5 linked regions of the Rattus norvegicus genome follow. The protein of the gene in region 1 purifies or fractionates together with the protein of each later gene. This does not show direct contact. Links are inferred from orthologs where the notes say so. Each region holds a gene or a part of one and is shown in the gene's direction. Other genes may lie near its edges.

Region 1 (4,209 bases):
TCAAAACCAACCAAACAAACAAACCAACCAAGACAACAAAACAAAATAAATACAAAAGATGGTAAACTTTACATTTAAAATTTCCCTTGTATTACGTAGATGTGTATGCATTATATGTATAATTTAAATGAATTATAAAGCAAGCATTCATGTAATAGCACATTGGCTGGGTGTGCTGGTATGTAGGACTTTAATCCTAGCACTCATGAGGCAGAAGCAGGGGGAACCTCTTAGTTGGCCAGACACTTCTACAAAGGTAGTTCCAAGTCAATCAGGGTTACATAGATGCTGTTTCAAAACCAATCCAATCCAAAACACACAAACAAAACTCCCAGTCAACACCCACCCCTAATATACTAAGAGGGTGCCGCGTGTCTGTCCTCATCACAACCTTCTTCCTTCCTATCATAACAGGTTGAATTAACAGCATAAAATGCAAATATGCCTTTAAATTTCAATGTTTTCTTTCAATTTAAAGCAAAAAATGTAAAAAAACCCAAAACTTAAAGAACTTTTAAAGATTTTCTTTCTCCTTTCCTTCACTTTTGAAAGTCTTATCCTAAAACCTATTTTGGTTTCATAGTTGACCTCACCTGCAGTGTTTAATTAAAAAAACAAAACAACAAAAAACTTCAGTGTAGATTTTTCATTCCTCTCTCTCTCTTGCCTTCAACTACAAAGAAACAATGATTTAAGCCCTTTGTGCCCTTTTAGAAAATTACACAGATACCCTATTGTGGAACCCTATAATCCCTCCGTGGAAAGGAAGAGATTAGCATATGAATACAAAGCAAAATGAATCCAGAATACAAAACGATCTATCGAGTTGTGAGGCTCTTGTATTCTTAAAAATGTATTTATTTCCTCTTTTTTTGTATTGCCCCTTTCGTGGTTTAAGGGTTAAGGAAATTGAGACCCCCCCCCGCCTCCCTCCCCCTCGACTACCCGGAAAAGAATTAAACACACACACACACACACACACACACACACACACACACACACACACCCCAACATATTCTAGGAGGTGCAAAACCAACAGATGGCTCCTAGCGCCAGTAGAATCCTCAGTGGAATCTGCTACACTCGACATCAGCTTGCTCGCTGTGAGGAGTGTAGAAAGTGCTGTTCGCTAACTGCGTGGTGAAGGAGAGAAAGCGATAGAAGAGAGAGCCATAATGCTGACGTTGAAGGCCCGGCCCTGTGAGGTTGCATAGGGTAAGTGGCGTTGGCCAGGCGGCGGTGGCGAAGGGGAAGGGAAGAGGATTTGGGCTAGGGGCGGGGCTTGACGCGCAGCGTGGCTCCTGATTGCTGGAGCGCGGCTGCCAATCTCGCAGATCCGCTCGCTTAACCAGTGCGCTGGCGAGACGCGCTCAGATATACTGAGCGAGCGCGGAGAAGCAGTCTCAGATCCTGACGGTGCAGCAGCCCGCAGCCTCAGCCAGGGAGTCCCAGCCGCTTTCAATGGAGGAGAAGCCCGGCCAGCCACAGCCTCAGCACCATCACAGCCACCACCATCCGCACCATCACCCCCAGCAGCAGCAACAGCAGTCGCACCACCACCACCATTATTATTTCTACAACCACAGCCACAACCACCACCACCACCACCATCACCAGCAGCCTCACCAATACCTGCAGCATGGAGCCGAGGGCAGCCCCAAGGCCCAGCCCAAGCCGCTGAAACATGAGCAGAAACACACCCTCCAGCAGCACCAGGAAACGCCGAAGAAGAAAACAGGTCTGAGAGGGAGGGCGGTGGGGGAAGGGGACTGGGTTGGGGGGAAGGGATGGGGGTGGGGCTAGATGTGAAAAGCGCGGACCCGGTCGGGGTGTGCGTCCCGCCGGGCCGGGGATGCCCCCTTCTATTCTTCCCGGGCGCGGGCCGCGAGGTGGGGATTGCAGCGCCCTCTCCTTCCCTTTAGCATGGGAGAGGCCCAGTCAGGCCAGCGTGACCTTCCTCGGCCCCCGCCCCGGCCGGAGGCAGACCTGTACGGTCGGCCTTGGAAGTCCAGCCTTATTTTTCCCTCTAGTGCGGCCCTGGAGTTGCCTGAATGTGGGGGCCCTAAGAAGGGGTGAAACTCATCTGTCCTAAAAAAAAAAAAAAATCCCTTGAGGTGTCTGTAATCCAGGCCTAGTGAATTCCGGTTCGGGTGGTGTCGCGAGACCCGCTTGCAGGCGGCGAGGAGCGGGGCTGAGGGCTGAGTTGAGGAAGCGTCCTCCCTCACCCGCCACCCCAAGCCCACCTGTGGCCTTGGGGTTTGCTGTCCTGGGGGGGGTAGGCTGGGACCCCATCGTCCCTCGGGTCTTTTCTATCCCTAAATGCCCATCTTGGGCTCCGGACCCCGCTGTCTATCCGCGAGGCACCTCCAGAGGCCGGCGCCCCTGGCCCGCTCGCCTCGGAGCCGGCGAGGCTGGAATGTTCTCTTCTCCTCGCGGGGCCGCTTCCTGTCCGCCATGTTGGAAGCCGATTCCTGTCACCGACTCTGGCCGGCTGAGGAGCGGAGGGGGAAGGGTGCGGAAGGCCACACGGGACGCTGGCACCGCTGCCCCGGGACCCTGTGCAGCCCTCTTCAGGTCCCCCGCACTGCGGGCGGCCGCCGCCCGCCGCCCCTCCCCCCGCCCCGCGCCGGGTTGTGTAACCCGGTGGCGGCCGCGCGGCCCCGGGCGGGTCCCTGGGGTGAGGGGCGGGGGCGGTTGGGGTGGGGGAGGGAAGCGGCCACGAGGGGAGCGGCCTGCACCGTGGACTCGCGCGCCGACGGCCGCGTTTCCCGCTCCCGGGTGCGGCGGGAGGCGCGGGCGGCCGGGAGGGAGCGGGCCTCGAAGAGGAGCTAGAGGGGGAAGGAGGCCCGGGCGGCGGCCCCAGCGTTCCGCCGGCCTGCGAGGGGCGAGGGGATTCATTTTGGGTAGAGGCGGTGCCTGAGGCCTGGTGGGGTACACAGCGGGAACCAAGCTCCCGGGTCACGAGTTTCTCTGCCACAGGAATCTCATCTCCTGCCAGGTTCGCTCACGACTCCGCCTCAGAGGCTTTTTCACTTAGGCCTTTTTCTTTATAGCAGCGCATTTCCTACCCAAGGAGGGTGGGGGGCCCGGCAACCTCTCAAACCTTACTCCATTGGTTTTTCCACTCAACACCTACTAAACTTGTGAGCTGGGTTAGTGACTGTAGGAGGGATTAATCAGATGTTCGATTGGATGGACAACACGGGCAGTTTTGGGTTCCCTGTTTCTTTAACGATGAACTGGAAAGGAAGTGACTTGTCCATGCGGTTGTCACTAATCCCTTACCTTGGACAAGACCTTTTTGGTTAAAGTGAGAGGTGTTTTTGGTGCATTTTAAAACCGACTTCTATCCCCAAACTGAATGTTATTTAACATATTAAACGTGGAGTCTTGAAATATTTAAAAAATAAGCATCAAAGTTTATATATAAGCACATTAAAGTGCTTTTTTTTTTTAAACTGAAAAGGGAATGCTTAGAAAAATGTTAAACTTAGCCTATCATATAATACAAGTAGTTACTGGTGAAAAACTTAGTGTAGACCGTAAGTTATTTGAAGACACCTGGATGGATATCAGATTTTCTTTTATAAGGTGGTAGGGACTGATGATGGAGCAGAAATGTTTAATTGTAAGGATTTACAGCAGCTTAGAGACTTAGGAATTATGTAACTGCATTGGTTTTGGTTTTTCAGAAGGTGAGAAAGTGTCAAGGTTGCCAAATGGAACTGTTCAAAGATTTAGAATTTATCTTTTACAAGGTTTGTGTATTCCCCATCGGATTCCTTACTCCATAGAGATGCAGACCTTGAACCATTCATTGAAGGTGGCTGTCCTCAAAATGTCTTAAATTGGGATGAAGAATATTATCAGTTGGGCTGAGTGGCTTTTCCATGTGTAGTTTGGTCATTTTATACAGTGCTAAGAAATCTAGAAAATGTTAGGTACATAACGTAATGGGTTTTTATGAACCATTACTCCCAAACTTAAGTGAAACTGGTTTTCTGTATTCAGAAGTAAGGGCATAGGAGGCCAAACATGTTGAGTAATTGCAATGTCAAATCCAAAAGCTAGATTTATTGGGACTCAAGTTTTACTGAGTCCATTTGAAGTGGAGTTATCATGGCAGCCCCAAATAGTAAAGACACAGGAATTCTTTGCTTTCTGTTATAACTACTATCTTCACATTTTTCTTAAATATCTAAGCTTTAA
Region 2 (4,120 bases), on another chromosome or scaffold:
GGATTTTGCTGTCCTCTGCCCATCATCCCCTTAAGCAATTTCACTTAAAAAAACAAAAAGAAAAAAAACCCAAAAAACCAACTAAACTCATTGCAAAAAGTTACCCATTTGCTTCCAATTTAATTACAACACCTTAAAAAAAAAAAAAGGGCTAGTTTGGTGGCCTTCCCGAGTTAAAGTAAAACTTTTTAAAAGGGGTCAAGGTCTAAAGTTGACATTTTTGCGAGGTCTCCAATGAGGGAGACCCCATTATCCACGGTAAGACCCCCATTACCCAGCTCTACCAATCACGTCCATTTCCCTTTGGAGTCGCCTGAAGGAGGAGTAAGACGTTCCAGTGAGGGGAAAAAAGGGTTCAAATGAAGGTCAGATACCCAACAGTTCGCTGGGGTGAATAAAGTGGGGCAAAGTGAAGCAGCTGGCGGTGGCTTCAGTGGTGGCAAGCTTCCCACGCTGGCAGGGAAACCAAGCACGCAGTGGCACCTGGGGGCCTACTGTGTGCCAGGCCCGAATGCAGGTCTCCGCCCCGAAGGCGCCCGCGGGCCATCCTCTATGTTGCATCTGGTGGGGGGGAAACCAAGGTCCCCGAAGGGGGCTGAGGACACCCGGGCAGCCCACGGTGCCCGTCCGCGAAGCAGGGCCAGCGGCCGAAGACAAGCATTCCCTCCTCGAAGGGCAGACCCGCCTCAGCGAGGGCGGATCCCCCACGGCCCTACCCCGACCCCGGAGAGCGAACGCGGCCCAGCGCTGCGCCCGCTCCTCACGTGTCCCCGATCGGCCCCCGAGCCGTCTCACGTTCGACTTCCGCCTGACCCTTCCGACTTCCGGTAAAGAGTCCCCCCCGCTCTGTTTCGCATCTCCGCGCCCTCCAGGCCGCGTCGCCCCGTACGCGTCCGCGAGCCCGGCTCCCATGCGTCCGTCGACAGACGCCGCTCAGCGGCCCGCGGCAGGCCCCGAGCCGCGCCGCCTGTCGGGCTGGGCCGCGCGGCGCTCGCTCCCGCGGACGGCGCGGCGCGGCGGGCGGGGCGGCGCGGTAGCATATCCCTCCGCCGGCCCTCCCCCGCGCGGCCCCGGCGCCCCTCCCCGCGGGCCGCGCTCGCCGCCCTGCGCCTCAGACTGTTTTGGTAGCAACGGCAACGGCGCGTCCCGGCCCGGCTCCCGGCGGCTGTTCGGTGTCTGCGGGCCTCCCCGCCCCTTCGTCGTCGTCCTGCTGCCTCTGGCACCCGCGACCGCGCCAGCCCGCGCCTGCCCGCTCGGCGTCCGCGCGTCCCCGCCGCGCTCCGGCGTCTCCTCAGCGCGCCCGGCTCCCGGCTGTCCCCGCCCGGCGTGCGAGCCGGTGTATGGGCCGCTCACCATGTCGCTGAAGCCGCAGCCGCAGCCGCCCGCGCCCGCCAGTGGCCGCAAGCCCGGCGGCGGCCTGCTCTCGTCGCCCGGCGCCGCGCCGGCCTCGGCCGCGTCGACCTCGTCTTCCGTGGTGCCGGCCCCTGCCGCGCCGGTGGCGTCTTCCTCGGCGGTCGCGGGCGGCGGGCGTCCCGGCCTGGGCAGGTGGGTGTCGGCTCCCCAGCCCCCTCCGCGCCCGCCTGGCCGATCCCGCGCCGCTCGTCCCCTCCCCCGCCTCGCCCCGTGACCGGCCGGCGTAGCGATGGGCCGGGGGCCCGCGGAGGGGCGGGAGGCGCCGGCAGATCCTTCGGGCTTCTCAGGCCGTGTCCAGCCTCCCGCACCATCGCGTCCCCTCCCCCCAGACGGCCAAGATGGACGGCCCGGGCGGCCCCCTGCCCCTCGCGTGTGTGCTAGGGGCGATTGGTCTCCCCGCCCCACCCCCTTGCTGGGTCCCCTGCCTGTGATGGAAGAGCGGCTGAGCCAGGGTGCAGGTCGCAGGGGGACCCTCTCCTGAAATGAGCCTCACTGCTGGGTGGGGAGTCGGGAGGGAGGAGGGGAGATTGAGGCCCAGCCGCCCCAGGTAGGGTCAGCCGGGTGTCCTGCATATTCCCGCCTCGCAGACCCTGGGAAGGTGGGCGACCGAGGCGAGGTGGGTGGCCAGCGGCCTTGCGCACCCATCCCCCTTTAGATCTGGGGCGGCGGGGTTCCCGCAGCGGGCTGTCCTCCCCCAGCTGGGGAAGGGGTGGGAGTGCCCTGCTCCCTCCAGGCCCGCCTCCCTCCTTCCCCGCAAGGTCCCCTGCGCGCGGGTGGTGGCCGATCCGCATTGCTGTTTCTCGTCCGCGGAGCAGAAGGCGCCTTTGAATAGAGGTGGGCGAGGGCCGGACTCGAGAGGTGGGTTGGCGGCGGGCACCGGACACGCAGCTCATTTTCCCTCCCAACCCCTGTCCCAGTTCCTGAAATTTTTAGGGGTGAGGAGCCTCCACAGAGGAGTTGGTGCGGGTCCCGAAGGCAACGACGCGAGTGTTGGCTTGCGCCCTCGGCCCCCTTTCCCCTTCCCTGGGCCCGATTTCGTTGGTAGGAGCTGGAGGAGGCTGGGTGCTGTCCTGTGTGACTGGGCTTGACTCTGGAGGGTGTGTGCGCGCGGGGGTGGGGAGGGGTGGGGGTGCTTGTCAGTTCGTATTTCACGAACTAAGAAAATGCTTAGTGTTAAAACGGAGAGGCAAATGCCAATAGACTCCATTCCATTGTGGCCGGTGTCCTTAACTTGGGAAACGCCGCCGCCAGAGCTTACCAAGGGCATGCAAGTCCATTTCCCCTGTGTCCCTGTGTAACAGGCACTACTGTGCCTCCCTCTGGCCTAGGCCTGGCTGGCAGGGCCTCCTTAAATAGACATCCAGGACTTAGGAGGTGGGCAAGGGGAGTTTTCTTGTTTGGAGTTTTCTTAGCCCCATTGTCCAGCTGTCCATTTCCAGAGAGTTCCTGTACAGCAGAAGTTAACCCGCAGGGTGAATCAGAGCCGGGTTTTAAGGAGTTCTTCTGGGAACAGTATGTGTTTTACTTTATTCCCCCACACTCCCAATTTTCCCAAGCATGAGGCCTTTCAAACCCTTCTTAACCCGCCTCGTTCAAATTAAACCATCATTCTATTTCCACGGTTCTGCGAAGTTAGGGTTTGTAACTTGAGTTTCTTTTCCGTCCTTGACTTTTAGTGAAAAACGAAAAAATATTTAAATTTAACTTTAAGGATACATGTTTTTCTTTGCTTTTTTCATGTTTTAATCTTTGGTTCTCAGGAAGTGGCACGCATTTACGTTTTGTTCAAATACAGATTAAAGTTCCTGAGCCTCGCTTACTCTGTAGGCTTAAACATTAGACTGTGGCTGGCTGGACTCCACAGGGAGGGGCAGGGTATTAGGACCCCTGTCAGTCTCTGCTTTTGAGGCTCTGCAAAAGGGAAGGGCATTTAGAGCCTTCCCTGCTTTAAGTTCTCTTACTTGGCGCATAGGTTTCTTTTTAAGTTTCCTTCGTCCAATGCCTGTGCTCAGAATGGGTACTTTTGTTCTGTACAGAACCTTGGTTAACGCCATCCTCCTGTTCTTACTCTCCTCAGGGTTGTAAATGCATTGTAACTTGTAGAGTTTTGCTTGGGTTTGTGTGTGTCATTTTAAAGTAGGGCTGGCAGCATGGCTGTGGAAGGGCTATGTAGCATCGGGTGGTGGGGTGGCTCAGTGGCCCTTGCGGCCAGGCTTGTCAACCAGGATTCCCACACCTCTGCTGCCACAGCAGGAAGCAACTGACTCCTGCTGCAAGTTGTCCTCTGACCTCCACACCTGCCAGGGCATGTCCCCTCCTCCACAATAAATACACTTGAAAAGTGGCGTTGATGTTGTCATGTTTGAATTAGCAAAATGCACTTTACTGCCGCCTTAAGCACTGTTTCCTTTCTGGACCCTCCCCAACCTGGAACCCCAACCCAGGCCTTGTTTTTGCTCGAAAAGGATTTTGCTACTCAGCCAGCCTGGATCTGACTTGATTTTTGTGTGAACAGAATTTTGTGTGATTTTTGAGAACAGTTTTTTCCCATCATCACTTAGAGGCCACTTTCTTAGAAAAGAACCGTATGTGATCACTTTTTAAAAATCTTACCACAGTTGCACCCGAATCTACTTACTCTTGACTTTGACCTTTCGTGACGTCGTGCTCATGTGTGATGCAGCCTTCTTCCCCTTTAATCTGGTGA
Region 3 (4,302 bases), on another chromosome or scaffold:
CACTTACTAACACAAGCACTACACACACACACTTATTAACACAAGCACTACACACACACTTACTAACACAAGCACTACACACACACACACTTACTAACACAAGCACTACACACACACACACACACACACACACACACACACACACACACACGAAAAGCGCAGCAGTTGGGGAGGGGTGCTTCAGGCTTACTCTGATTGGATGTTGCTGTCTAGAAAGCAGGAGAAGGGCTGGAAGCAGGGAGTCATTGGCTTAGAGAGCGTATTTGGCTTTCTCTGATTGGTCTCAAGTTGGAAGCAGCGGTAAAAAATATGGAAGCTGCTAGTCACTGACTACGAGTATTGACTGTTCAGGACCCCTTAACGAGTGATCTAGTATGGAGTCGTATTGTCACAAATGATTTGACCATTGTCAGTATTTCCAGCCCTCCAGCAGCGTAGGACGCAGGTTTTTCACTTCGGCCCAGCTCGATTTTTACTTAACACACAAGAAATGTTTGTTTTACTTGAAACAAGACTGCTTTCTAGGTTAAGGATAAGACCTCAGGATCTGAGAATCATAGAAACAAATGCACAGATAGCTGTCTGCAGTGAGGGTCAGGCAGCAGAATCTACTGGTTTCCCATTTTCACAGCGAGACCTCCCTCGTAGAGGCGACCCGCCCTTCTTTCTAGAAGAGTGCCACTGCCGGCAGGAGCAAAGGGTCACCTCGCCTGCACTCTGGGCTTGGTAGCCCACGACCTAGGGCGGGCTCCCGGTTCACGCTTTCCCCGCTGCCTCGCCGACAGCCTCGGCCCTTCAGGCCCAATTTTTCTGCACGTCCCTGGGTGGAGGTGCGCCCTGGCCTCGCAGCAGCCTCCCGGCCACCCCAGGTCAGCTTCCGGACCGGCGCAGGCTGCCCTCCGAGCGCGTCCCCGGTCAGCAGTCAGCAGGCGTCCCCTCCGCCCGGCCCGGCCAGCCCAGCTCAGGAGGGACGAAGGCAAGGACGACACTCCCCGGCCACCATTCATTTCCCCACTGGTCTCCTCAGCTCTGCAGGCAAGCTCTCCAGTCCGTCCGTCCGTCCGTCTGTCCGTCCGTCCGTCCTTCCCGAAAACAGCCCCGTGTTTCCCTGAGCTCGGTCCCATCAGTAACGAGTCTCTCCCGACCCTCGCCCGCCGCGCCCAGGAAGCCGTGACGCCGCGGCGGCTGCAGCGGCGGAGCTCTCGCCATCTTGTGTGGAGGAGGAGCCGCAGCCGCCGCCATGCGGAGAGGCTGGGAAGGAGGGAGGGAGACGACAGCGGCGGGCGAGGGAGGGGGCAGAGCAGCAGAGTCAGCTCCGCTCAGCGGCGACATCCGGGGCGCCGGCACAGCGGGCTACGGCCGAGGTAGCGCGGGACGGCAGCGGCGGCGGCGGCGCGGGCGGCGAGCGGCGCGGCGGGGGCGGGGCGGCGGGCGTAGCGGCGAGGGGCCGGGTGGGGGCGGGCGGAGGTTTCCGAGGAGGAAGGAGCCGCCGCCATTTTGGGAGCTTCGAGTCAACAATAAAGGACCGAGGGTGCGGAGCGGGAGTGGCCTGGGTGGTAGGACTCGGGCCCGAGCCGCGGGGCGTGGGGTGAGGCGGTGTGGTCGGGGTCGGTAGGGCCCTGAGGGTCGCGGGGAGCCCCCTCGGGCGGGAGTCAGGGCGCGCTTGGGGCGGAAGCCCGAGGCCCAGGCCTGGCCCGGGAGGACGGGCGGGTGGCCGCTGAGAGGAGCAGCGGCGGCGGCGGAGAGGAGTGGAACCGAGGAATGTGGTGTGTGCCCGGTCTGGAGGAGGAGCGGTGGAGTGCTCTGGGCGAGCGGTGTGGTAGACGGGAGCGGGGACGGAGCGGCGGCCGGGACTCCGGAGTGAGGTTGGGAGTGCGAGGCAGCCCTGTTGGGGGCGGCAGGGCTGTGCTGTCCGGAGACTGGGCTAGGAGAGGACCCGCAGCTGCTCGGTTGCAAGTAGGCCTTGCAGGTTGGTGGGAACATAGGGTTTGGGGAGACTCAGCGGCGTAAGAGGAAAGGGGAGGCGGTCCAGTTTTTGGGGTTCTCTTCCGGGCCTTCTGAGGGGAGTCCCTATTGTTTCCCACTCGCAGAGCTGGTTCCGGCTCTTGTGGCGCAGATAGATTGCAGGGCAGAAAAAAACCCTTTTGCGTTTTGATCTGAAGGAGCTGGATTTGTAGAGTGTAGTTGGGGGAGGGGGAGAGGAATTATTGCCCTACGGTTACTGGACTCCGAGTCTTAGCTTGGTTTTTCCTTTTCCATAGCCCCCCTTTTCCTTCAGAAAAACCCCAATCACTCCAACTTCCTGCTGAGGCTTAGAGAAATCGCGCTGTATTTGCAAACAAAAGCCCTTGTTGGAGCTTATGGTACTGTTTTAGGTGTGAAACTGTCAATTGCTAACCACGGTCTGGGCCGTGCTGTAATTAACTCTGCCAGGGGCTCCTCCCAGCTAAGTCTACGTTCCTTCGTGGTTTTGTTTTAAGACTATAACTTGCAAATCTAAATTGGGAAGGGGTAGGACGAATATTTCCCCAACTGAGACATAAAACTGCAGTGCAGGTATCTGTTTCTGGAGAGAGCAGTTATCGAAGTCTCTGGGTTTAAGGCACTGGGTCTTACTGGGCTTGATTGACAGTACTGATGGTGTCCGTTAGTATTCAGAGGTTGCCCCCTTCAGCCTCTTAGTGCTGTACAAATAGGAAGCCTTCCTGTTTGACGTACCTCATACTGTTGATCATATGCTGTCAATACAGAAAATGCCTATTAACAGAACAAATAAACAGCTTTATGTGATAAGCAGCATTTGTGAGCAAGTTGATATATAACGAGATATCCTTTGACTTGAAAATTTTGGGTTTGGGACACTTGGTGTGTGGCAAAGATAACTAGCACTAATTAAGCTAGTGTTTTGGGAACCAGTGAAATAATGTAAGGGGGTTACAAAATAAAACTGAACGAGTTGGGCTTATACTGGTCCTTAGTAATTTTTTATTTGCCAAATTTTGAGAATTCCATTTGGGGAACAATTTAAAGTAGAGGAGGTTGACCAACTCTTTCTTAAAAATAACTTAATTAGACTCGCTATTCAGGGTGATTTGGGAGAATTTTATTAAAACTACAAGTTTAGCCCTCTGGTTTTTCTTTCCCCTTTTACTATAGGACACACACACACACACACACACACACACACACACACACACACGTACGTACGTACGTTTAAACTTTTTTATTTTTCCTTTTCTTTTTTTCGGAGCTGGGGATCGAACCCAGGGCCTTGGGCTTGCTACGCAAGCCCTCTACCACTGAGCTAAATCCCCAACCCCTAAACTTTATTTTAAATTAGGACATACTTTTTGAAAAGTGTTATAGTAAAAGGCAACACTAACAGCTTTCATTCAACTTTTGGTATTGGGGCTTTCTTTTTTCTTTGCCCCCCCCCCTCCAGTTGAAGAGAATCTTAGAGTTTTTCAAGCAGAAGATTTTTGATATGTAGACTGCTCCATACAGATCTTTTGACTGCTTCAATTATTTTGGTCAGGACAAAATTCAATAAAAAAAAATTGATTTCTGTAATTGAAACTGGTAAGAAGACTTCGTATTTGAAAAGTCTTTTCATTTAAAGGTTTTTGTGTTGCTGTCAGAAATAGAAAGATGTTAGTGAATTGTCTTGTTCAAATCTAGATGTACATGAGGTAAATTGAGTGATATTTCAAGTTTTAATGTAATTAAATGTAATGACATTTAGAGGGGGCAGGACTTGGAGAGAATTCATTAGGAGATTGAAGAACAGATTGTTATTTGAGAATGAATTTGAATTTTATCAATAGTATCTTCCTGCCTTTTTTTCCCCCTAAGTTGCTTTGTTCTTGCAATTTTAAATGTTTGAGGTTGGATTTTTCGTAGGTTGGGTTTTTAAGGCAGTTCTTCGCTATGTCTTTCCTATGTCAAGTAGTGATCTGGTTTGAGTATGTCGATTAGTGGTTCTTGAGAAGATGACCATTGCAGAGGAGTTCTTTAAAAGGGAACAATTTCTCCCCCTGACTTTGTGGTCTGCTAATTTAATTTTTTTCTTTGTTTCAGATTGAAGTGAGTGAATTCAGATATAATTCAAGCTTGTTAGAGCGCTTTAAAAAAATACAAAGTTGATTCGTTGCTTGAGAGCAAGTTAACTACTGCTGCTTACCGGTGAGAGACTTACAGGTGCTTGCCTGAATTGCAATAAAGGACTCATATATTGAGCAAGACTTATTTATCTCTTCATTTTGGAGAGCCTCATAAACTGTTATTACAGTTTCTCTACTGACT
Region 4 (4,308 bases), on another chromosome or scaffold:
CAACCACATGGCAGCTTACATTTGCTAATTCCAGTCCCAGGGGACCTGATGCCAGCGTCTGGCCTGTGAGGTCAAACACACACACACACACACACACAGAGTACACAAATTTTTATTTTGTACACTGCTACCAAATGATCTATTTATCTTTCCCCTGCTCGCATACCTTTTGGGAAGTGTGTGCCAAGTCTCACCTGACCTGCTGGCCTTAAACTAAATATGTAGGGATGACTTTAATTAATTCCATTTTTCTGCCTCCAATGGGTTATTAATCTAAATGTAGATTTGGACTCATCTATACAACTATGTTCAGTTTGTTAGTGTCCACCCAATCCTATATTTAATTTTTGAATTGTGTTCACCAATAGTAGGATTTTAGGTTAACATTCCATGACAAAACCTGGGTGTGATGATGTATGTCTTTTTTTTTTTTTTTGGTTCTTTTTTTCGGAGCTGGGGACTGAACCCAGGGCCTTGCGCTTCCTAGGTAAGCGCTCTACCACTGAGCTAAATCCCCAGCCCCGATGATGTATGTCTTAATCCTAGCACTTAGGAAGAAGGCAGACAGATCTCTGTAAGTTTAAGACCACCCTGGTTGGCACAGGGAGGTGAAAGCCAGCTAAAGGAAATAGTGAGACTTTCAGGCTCCATCCAAGCTGTCAGATCTATTCCACCTGTATAGAAATCCATTTTCCTGCTCTGTTTTACCAAGTACCTCTGGTCAAATTATATAAATCTTGCACTACTTTGAGCTTTGAGTTTCTTAGTTACCCTTGTGCCCAAAGCATGGACCAATGTTCAACTTGTCTTCCTTCTGAAACAAGGTCTGCCCAGCTGACCTGGAACTTATATAATCCAGGCTGGCCTCAAACTTCTGATCCTCCTACCCTTCCTTCCTAGTGCTGGGATTGAAGTTGTGAACCACCACAGCTGCCCTCATTTTGAATGACGGCTGCCTTTATAGGCAAGCATTGTACCACGATTCTCCGACAGTGTCTTGCTATGCAGCCTGGGCTGGGTTCTGTAATATACTCTTAGAAGTCTAGCCTCCAGACTGCCTGTATTGTTACTGTTCTGGATTTCACTATCCCAGAAAAAGTCACTGAATTTCAGTTTCAAATTGGACACCTTTGTTAGGATGCACTTACGCTCAAGTAGTCATTCTAATGCTCATTAATATTCTAAAGGAGGTAAGATGGAGAACAGCATATTTAAAAACCCACCTGCCTTAAAGTTACCTGTACTAGGTTTGTCCTAGGGTTTTTTTTTTTTTTTTTTTTTTTTTTGGCCCACGAGACTCCGCCCACCGCTCACCCAGTGGCGGAAGAACCTCACGCTACGACGTGATACCTCACACCACCGCGGAGACTTTCTGACGTTACGCTTGTGGCGTGGGAGGGGCGGGTCCACCGGCACTTCCCCTTCCTGGCTTTGGCCCCTCCCACACTCGTTGTGAAGCAACCGCGGCCGCCAGTATTTAAGGTGGCTCGGAACCTAGAGGTGCTCTAGGCGCCTGCGCGGCTCCTTTTCCGCCCTAAGGGCTAGACCAGTCTGAGCCACAACTGGAGCCTCTTCTGCTTTCCGGAACTAACCGCCTGGCGGCGCTCCCCGCGCCCCTCCCCCGCCGGCGCTTCCGCCCGCGCTCCTCCCTCTCTCCTTCTCCAGCGACGCGCACGCGCGCCAAGCCGGCTCGCGCCCTCTCGCTATCCACCGGCCCGCGACATCCCCCCCTCCCCTTCCGCCTCGCGGCGCTTCCTCGCGCCGCCGTCTTCTCAATCCACCCCTGACACCGCGGGGCTCCCCCCGCCCGCCAACGGCGGGTCCCCTGCTTGGCGATCTCTCTCGCTTCCCGCGCTCTCCAGCAGGGGCCCAGCCTCAGGCCCTCTTTCCCTTCCCTCTAATTTCTCTTCCGGACGCTGCCATCATGTTGAAGCCTCAGCCGCCACAACAGACCTCCCAGCCCCAGCAGCCGCCCCCCACGCAACAGGCCGTGGCTCGCCGGCCTCCCGGCGGGACTAGCCCTCCCAACGGCGGCCTCCCGGGACCGCTGCCCGCTACCGCGGCTCCCCCGGGGCCTCCCACAGTGGTCTCTCCGTGCCTGGGGCCTGCAGCCGCTGCCGGCAGCGGGCTCCGCCGCGGAGCCGAAAGCATCTTGGCGGCGCCAGCGCCGCAGCAGCATCAAGAACGGCCAGGGGCAGTGGCTATCGGCAGCGTCAGGTGAGAACGGGACTCCTGGCTGGGGAGAGCCCAGGTGGCAGCGACTCGGCTTTGGCGGAGGCGCGCCGGGGCTTGGCGCTGTTGAGGGGCTCTTAGGGCCCAGAACCCCGTGAAGGAGGGGGTAGACCCTCGTGCCAACAGGTCGGAGAGAAAGATCTCCGGGCGGTCTCCAGGAGCCTGGGGGCAGTGCTCGGCTCTCTGGGCCTAGTCACCGCTTGGGGTCTGGGCCCTGAGGGGAGGCGGGGCGCGTCCCGCCAGCTCCGTCGGAAAAGGGTGTTGGGGGGGTTGAGGAGGTGATGGGGTCCCCAGCTCCATTACCACGGAGGATCTCGCGGTCCCCGGTTTCAGCCAATGGGGAGTCAGCTGCATGAAGGGGTCCCCGGCTGTAGCCAATAGAGGGGGGGCGCGCGGCCCACAGTTTGACCAATGGGAAGGGAGGGACTTGGGAGCAGATTGTTCCCTCCTCTTCCCGGTGTAGCCAGTAAGAGGGGAACGGAGTGGGCGGGGGCGCGGAAGCAGCGGCTACTGGGAAGACTGCAGACTGGGAAGCTCCTGCGCGCGCGCTCCCTGCCCGTACGTGCGCGCGGATGCTGTCTTATGACTCGGGCATTGGCTTGCCCCGGTAACACGTAGAGCAAAGACTGAGGAGGGGGGGGTTGGTTGGAGGGTTTAGGGGCGTCTGGTGTTGGTGAGTGAGGAGTGGGTGCCCTCGGTTTTCTTGGTGTGTCAATGCGATTAGAAGCAGCCACTAGACGCAGGCGCAGTGGCTTCTGTTCTAGAGCGGGTGGAGGGCTATGGGCTTTAGTGCGCAGGCGCATACCGGGCGAGGCATCCCGGTGGATGGTTTTTGCGGCTGCGCGGTCCCCCAGCCCCGCCAACGGCCCCCTCCTCGCCCTCCTCAACTGCCGGTTACATCAGCCGTCGAGGAGCTGTGTTACCTGGCGATTGGGGATCCTTTCAGAGTGGGTAACAGGCTGAATGAAAATAATGAGGGCGAAAGGGTGGGGTGTGGAGAGTATACCCCTCCTGGGATTTGGAATCCAAGGCTGCTGAAAGTGCTTTTTTCCTTTGGGAGGTAATGTGTCTAAGCTCAGTAGTGCTGCATTTGGGGTGCCCGAGCTTTCACCTTCACAACTGAATTGGGCTGTTGGTTTACAAATACAGCAGTGTTTTATGGGAAGAGTGAAGTCCCCTTGGAGGAAGTCAGGTTGTATTGCATTGGCTGTTAGCCGCATTTGACAGCTATTGTTTATTGAATTTTTTGTTGGCTTTTTAAAATCTTGAATTTGGAGAAAATGTTTTAGCAAGTAATTCCTGCTTTCCTCTTTAATGTGAGCATTTGTTAATCAGCCCGTAGCCTAAATCAGCAAGTTGACATGGTACATTGTTCTAGGGTTCACTGTTAATTAAAACTAGTTTCTCTCTTTAACAGGGGACAGACCACCGGAAAGGGACCCCCACAGTCACCAGTGAGTGCCTTTTTTTCCTCTTGTAAAGACTCAGAAGACATAGGGTGGGACAGTCTGGGAAGAAAGAGTATTCACCTGCTGCCCTTTGCTTTTTTCTTGTGTGACAGGTGTTTGAAGGTGTCTATAACAATTCCAGGATGCTGCATTTCCTGACAGCTGTAGTGGTAAGTGAGAGCTTTAACGTTGGGTGTCTGAGGAATATGCTGTTTCAGTTTTTTAAAGTGACTTAATCTTTCACCTTGCTAGGGTTCTACCTGTGATGTAAAAGTGAAAAATGGCACCACTTATGAGGGCATTTTCAAGACGCTGAGCTCAAAGGTCAGTGTACTCAAATCGTGGAGTTTCTGAAGCTGTGTATGAGAGTGCAATTGAGGTTTGTGTAGGGTTGAGAGCAGGCAGTTTTGAGGCTTTTGCTAAGTTCTCTGGCTGATGTTGAGAAATGCAGAACAACATGAGAATTTGATGTTGAAAGACTAGAAAGCTTTGAGAGAAGCCATCTTTTCCTCCCTTTGATACTGACCCTGGAATGTTGGGAATGGGGCTTTTGTAGTTTGAACTGGCAGTAGATGCGGTACATCGGAAAGCCTCTGAGCCAGCAGGTGGGCCTCGTCGGGAAGACATT
Region 5 (3,954 bases), about 25 Mb from region 1:
GGTAAAGGGTGGCAGCTGGTGCTGGGTTTAAAAGTGCATCTGCACAGTTCCCCCCATGAGGTTAGTAAATATTGTAATATCAAATGGATATTATTGGGAGGGGGACTTAGTCATCATTAGTATTCCCTGCTCTTGACATCCCTTCTCTCGTATGTTTGTATGTATGTATGTATGTATGTATGTTTCTCCTGGTGCTGAGACTTGAACCCAGGCCTTGAGGATATGAACTCTATAGCTGAGCTACATCCCAGAGCTGTTCTTACTTTTACTTGGCTTTCTGATCACAGGGTTACTATTATTTATTTAGATACTCTAGGTCATGCATGTAGGCATTATCTCATTTAAGCCTCCTTACTGCCTTAGGAGGCAAATGTTATTATCTGATATAGGTCAGTAAATAGCACCTTTGTTAGACTCAAAACCGTGGCTTTGCCAGTTGTGAGATCCTGACAATTTTTTTTTTTTTTTTGGTCTTTTTTTCGGAGCTGGGGACCGAACCCAGGGCCTTGTGCTTCCTAGGCAAGTGCTCTACCACTGAGCTAAATCCCCAGCCCCAGATCCTGACAATTTTAAGAGTTTTCTTTAGCTGTAAAATGAGGATATTGATTCCTTCCTTGAGGGGCTGCCAGATGTTGAATAAGTGGTATTTACATCCCACTGAAGAAACATAAGTTTGATAATTTGCTTAAGGTTATATTATTTGGTAAACAGCCTCAGGTTCTAGTTTGCCTAACCTTACAGCTAAAGCTTTTTGTACGAGTACTTTATAATTGGTTATAATCATTTTGAGTGAGTCCTGCTAAGTCCTGTGAGCTTCTGGTTGTTCGTATGCAAATGAGGATAATATTTTATAGAGTTCATTCATTAAACGTTTTTGCGTAAGGTGTGGGCTTAAGCGAGACTCCAGGTGCTTTCTCTTTCTCCATTTCGTCCATTTCTTCTTTACATGCATTTATTTCCTTAGCTTCCAAAAGAGCCGTGCAAGTACTTAGCCAAGCAGACCAGCGGCCGCACATTTTTACTGTACTCTAGATTCCCCTTTATTTCCTCTTCACCTAGGCTCCCGCCCCACCCAGCGCCAGACCACGCCCCTGCGCGTGACGTCAGTACGCCTCGTGCGTCGCGTCGCGGCGCTTGCTGGGGGCCCGGCTTTCGCCCGCTGCTGCCGCCGCCGCCGCCGGCCGCGGCTGCTCTCCCAAGATGGCGGCTCCTCCGGGCGAGTACTTCAGCGTTGGGAGCCAGGTGTCGTGCCGGACGTGCCAGGAGCAGCGGCTGCAGGGCGAGGTGGTAGCCTTCGACTACCAGTCCAAAATGCTGGCTCTAAGTATCCTTCTCTGCGTGGACCCCGAGGCCGGGCCGGCGTGTAGGTGCGGTGGTGGGGGGGCGGGGGACGGCGGCGGCAGCTAGGGCCCTCTCCCGGCCTAGGGGCGACCGGCTACCGCGGTGCCCCGGGCGCATGCGCACGGCTCTGAACTCCCCTCCCCCTCCCGCGGGCCTTTCGGTCCATTTTGGGGACCCTTGTCTCCCACCCCTTGTGGGAGCTAGGCCCCGACTGAGGGTTGGTAGGTGGAGCAGGGCTTGACACGCGCCTGGCTTTTCGGGAGGGGACGATGTGTTAAGGGGACTCCGTGATTAAGGGAGGGGGATAGTGGTAAGGAGAGGGCTGGAGATTGGAGCCCGGATGGAGTGGGGAGCGGTAACATGCTATGGGGAGGGGTGTGTAGGGTCAGGAACTGCTAGTAGGGTAAGGGTATAGATTGCTGATGAGATTTGATTCAAGAAAGGGCGGTGGTGGGATGGTGGTCTAATGGGCCTTGCCAGTTTGGGGATGGGAAGTGCAGGACAGAGTTTGTATTTGAACTGGTGGCTAATTTTGCTGGAGTCATGTATGCTTGGTGTCACTGTGCTGACTTTAAGGTTCTCAGTCATTTGAAAATCGCTGCTTAGGGGGTGTTGGAAGCCTGGTCTAAAGAGGACTTGCCACGTTTTGCAGGGGCTTATATATGATAGTGTGTGGGCTTCTGTTCAGTTCAACACATTCCGTAATAACGTCCTTCTCCTTGAAAGTACCAGTGTTAAACTGCATGGAAGAGGTGGCCCTGTTCCTTTGGGGTGGGAATGATTGCTGAATTACTCCACCAACTCACTGTTGGAAAACAAAACACTTCCTGGTTGGAATAAATGAACCTCTGCCTCCCCCTTTATTTGAGCTACAGGTGGGTTTACTCGAATTATTTTTAGAAGGTAGCCTCTGTCGGAGTTTCTTATTGTGAGTTGTTGGTTTCCAGCTCAGAAAGATCTCTTGGTGAATGCCATACAATAAGAACAATTTCTTTTTGTATGTGTTATTTTAAAAACAAGAGATCATACTTGGCCTAAAGGCTCTTCCTTTGGTGACTTAGTTGGAAGAGTCTTTTTTTTTTTTTTTTGAAACTTTTTTTTTTTTTTTTTTTTAGAGCTGGGGACCGAACCCAGGGCCTTGCGCTCGCTAGGCAAGCGCTCTACCGCTGAGCTAAATCCCCAACCCCTTTTTGAAACATTTTATTTATTCATCTTATATATGACGAGTACATTGTCACTGTCTTCAGACACACCAGAAGAGGGCATCGGATCTCGTTACAGATGGTTGTGAGCCACCATGTGGTTGCTGGGATTTGAACTCATGACTTCTGGAAGAGCAGTCAGTTCTCTTAACCGCTGAGCCAACTCTCCAGCCCTGGAAGAATCTTAAAAGGAAGACTCACTCTTTTTATTTGACATACAGCAGGGTCTTAGTAAATGGTTGGAAAATGAATGAATGGGTGGATGAATGAATAAGGTCTCATTTTAGGTAGTTTCCTTCCCAATGGTGTACTTTTTGCCTCTGAAAAATGGGAAATTTCAAGTGTGAAAAAGAAATTGGAAAGAAAGAAAGGAAAAGCATGAAATCTGAATAAGTGAGAAGCACTGTCTAGATTTAGGGAGATTCTAGTATGACCCCAAACTTCAAAACACTGGTGCCTCTTTATAGTTCCTAAGTTTAAGACAAGCAGTGCATCTGACATCAAGACTGTATTTCTTCCCCTAAAACCCATTTAGAAAGTGACAGGAACCCTTTTGAAGGTTTCAATTTCTGGCTGTATATGGCTTTAAAAATTTTGAGATCCTTTGCTTTGAGCAGGAGCAAGTTGATGGGGGTTTATTGAGAGCTAAGATTCCTATGAGGCTCGCTCGGGGATGCCTTTCCTATACACTGGTATAGTTTTCTTCTTTGTGTGTATGTTGGTGTGTGTGTGTGTATGTGTGTGTGTGTGTATGTGTGTGTGTGTGTGTGTGTGTGTGTGTGTGTGTGTGTGTGTGTGTGTGTATGTATGTAGTTTTTGGAGATAGAGTTTCTCTGTGTAGCCCTGGTTGTCCTTTAACTCCCTCAGTGGTTCAGCTGGCCTCAAACTCACAGACATCTGATTGCCTGTGCCTCCCCCAAGTGCTGGGATTAAAGGTGCAGGACACCACCGGCCTCCTGCCTGGATCGTTGTGTATACTACTTGTGCAGTGTGCCTTTGTCCTATTTTCCTTAACTTTATTTTCTCACCAGAATGTCCCTCTTCCAGTGGAAAGCCCAACCATGCAGACATCTTGCTTATAAACTTACAGTATGTTTCAGAAGTGGAAATAATTAACGATCGAACAGAAACCCCTCCTCCCCTAGCTTCACTCAATGTTAGTAAGGTAAGAACTCAAGGACATTCTCGATGTCTGAAATGTTGGGAAGGAGGGATGCTCTCCAGCTTTTGAGGATGTATGCATTGTTCTGTGCTTTTTTTTTTTTTAAACCTACTTACGACCCTGGTGTTCTGTTTCATTTCTTGGGGTGGGGACTACTCTCTCTTCTTCCTTTTTGAGACAGATTCTTGTGTATTTTATGTAACCTTGAACTTCAGATTTTCCTGACTCTGCCATCCAAGTGCTGGGATT

Evidence for each region.
Region 2: the proteins of Nufip2 (region 1) and Atxn2 purify together in Homo sapiens (affinity purification with mass spectrometry; 3 studies listed by BioGRID and IntAct, counting the BioPlex papers as one, with this or other methods). This does not show direct contact. The link is inferred for Rattus norvegicus from reciprocal best matches to the Homo sapiens genes NUFIP2 and ATXN2.
Region 3: the proteins of Nufip2 (region 1) and Ddx6 purify together in Homo sapiens (affinity purification with mass spectrometry; 6 studies listed by BioGRID and IntAct, counting the BioPlex papers as one, with this or other methods). This does not show direct contact. The link is inferred for Rattus norvegicus from reciprocal best matches to the Homo sapiens genes NUFIP2 and DDX6.
Region 4: the proteins of Nufip2 (region 1) and Atxn2l purify together in Homo sapiens (affinity purification with mass spectrometry; 4 studies listed by BioGRID and IntAct, counting the BioPlex papers as one, with this or other methods). This does not show direct contact. The link is inferred for Rattus norvegicus from reciprocal best matches to the Homo sapiens genes NUFIP2 and ATXN2L.
Region 5: the proteins of Nufip2 (region 1) and Lsm12 purify together in Homo sapiens (affinity purification with mass spectrometry; 3 studies listed by BioGRID and IntAct, counting the BioPlex papers as one, with this or other methods). This does not show direct contact. The link is inferred for Rattus norvegicus from reciprocal best matches to the Homo sapiens genes NUFIP2 and LSM12.

What each region holds. Positions count from the first base shown.
Region 1 is NC_086028.1:63,071,992-63,076,200, forward strand, and holds the start of Nufip2 (nuclear FMR1 interacting protein 2), read left to right. Parts: upstream 1-1,405; 5' UTR 1,406-1,461; coding exon 1,462-1,738; intron 1,739-4,209. UniProt on the Homo sapiens protein: Binds RNA.
Region 2 is NC_086030.1:40,506,666-40,510,785, reverse strand, and holds the start of Atxn2 (ataxin-2), read left to right. Parts: upstream 1-1,354; coding exon 1,355-1,545; intron 1,546-1,582; exon of another isoform or gene 1,583-2,247; intron 2,248-4,120. UniProt on the Homo sapiens protein: Involved in EGFR trafficking, acting as negative regulator of endocytic EGFR internalization at the plasma membrane.
Region 3 is NC_086026.1:53,827,249-53,831,550, forward strand, and holds the start of Ddx6 (probable ATP-dependent RNA helicase DDX6), read left to right. Parts: upstream 1-1,500; 5' UTR 1,501-1,588; intron 1,589-1,627; exon of another isoform or gene 1,628-1,766; intron 1,767-1,829; exon of another isoform or gene 1,830-1,969; intron 1,970-4,077; 5' UTR 4,078-4,302.
Region 4 is NC_086019.1:190,517,779-190,522,086, reverse strand, and holds the start of Atxn2l (ataxin-2-like protein), read left to right. Parts: upstream 1-1,507; 5' UTR 1,508-1,924; coding exon 1,925-2,217; intron 2,218-2,535; exon of another isoform or gene 2,536-2,627; intron 2,628-2,672; exon of another isoform or gene 2,673-2,804; coding exon of another isoform or gene 2,805-2,839; intron 2,840-2,931; exon of another isoform or gene 2,932-2,946; coding exon of another isoform or gene 2,947-3,292; intron 3,293-3,649; coding exon 3,650-3,686; intron 3,687-3,793; coding exon 3,794-3,850; intron 3,851-3,932; coding exon 3,933-4,004; intron 4,005-4,236; coding exon 4,237-4,308. UniProt on the Homo sapiens protein: Involved in the regulation of stress granule and P-body formation.
Region 5 is NC_086028.1:87,637,751-87,641,704, reverse strand, and holds the start of Lsm12 (protein LSM12), read left to right. Parts: upstream 1-1,148; 5' UTR 1,149-1,200; coding exon 1,201-1,324; intron 1,325-3,574; coding exon 3,575-3,708; intron 3,709-3,954. UniProt on the Homo sapiens protein: Nicotinic acid adenine dinucleotide phosphate (NAADP) binding protein. Confers NAADP sensitivity to the two pore channel complex (TPCs) by acting as TPC accessory protein necessary for NAADP-evoked Ca(2+) release.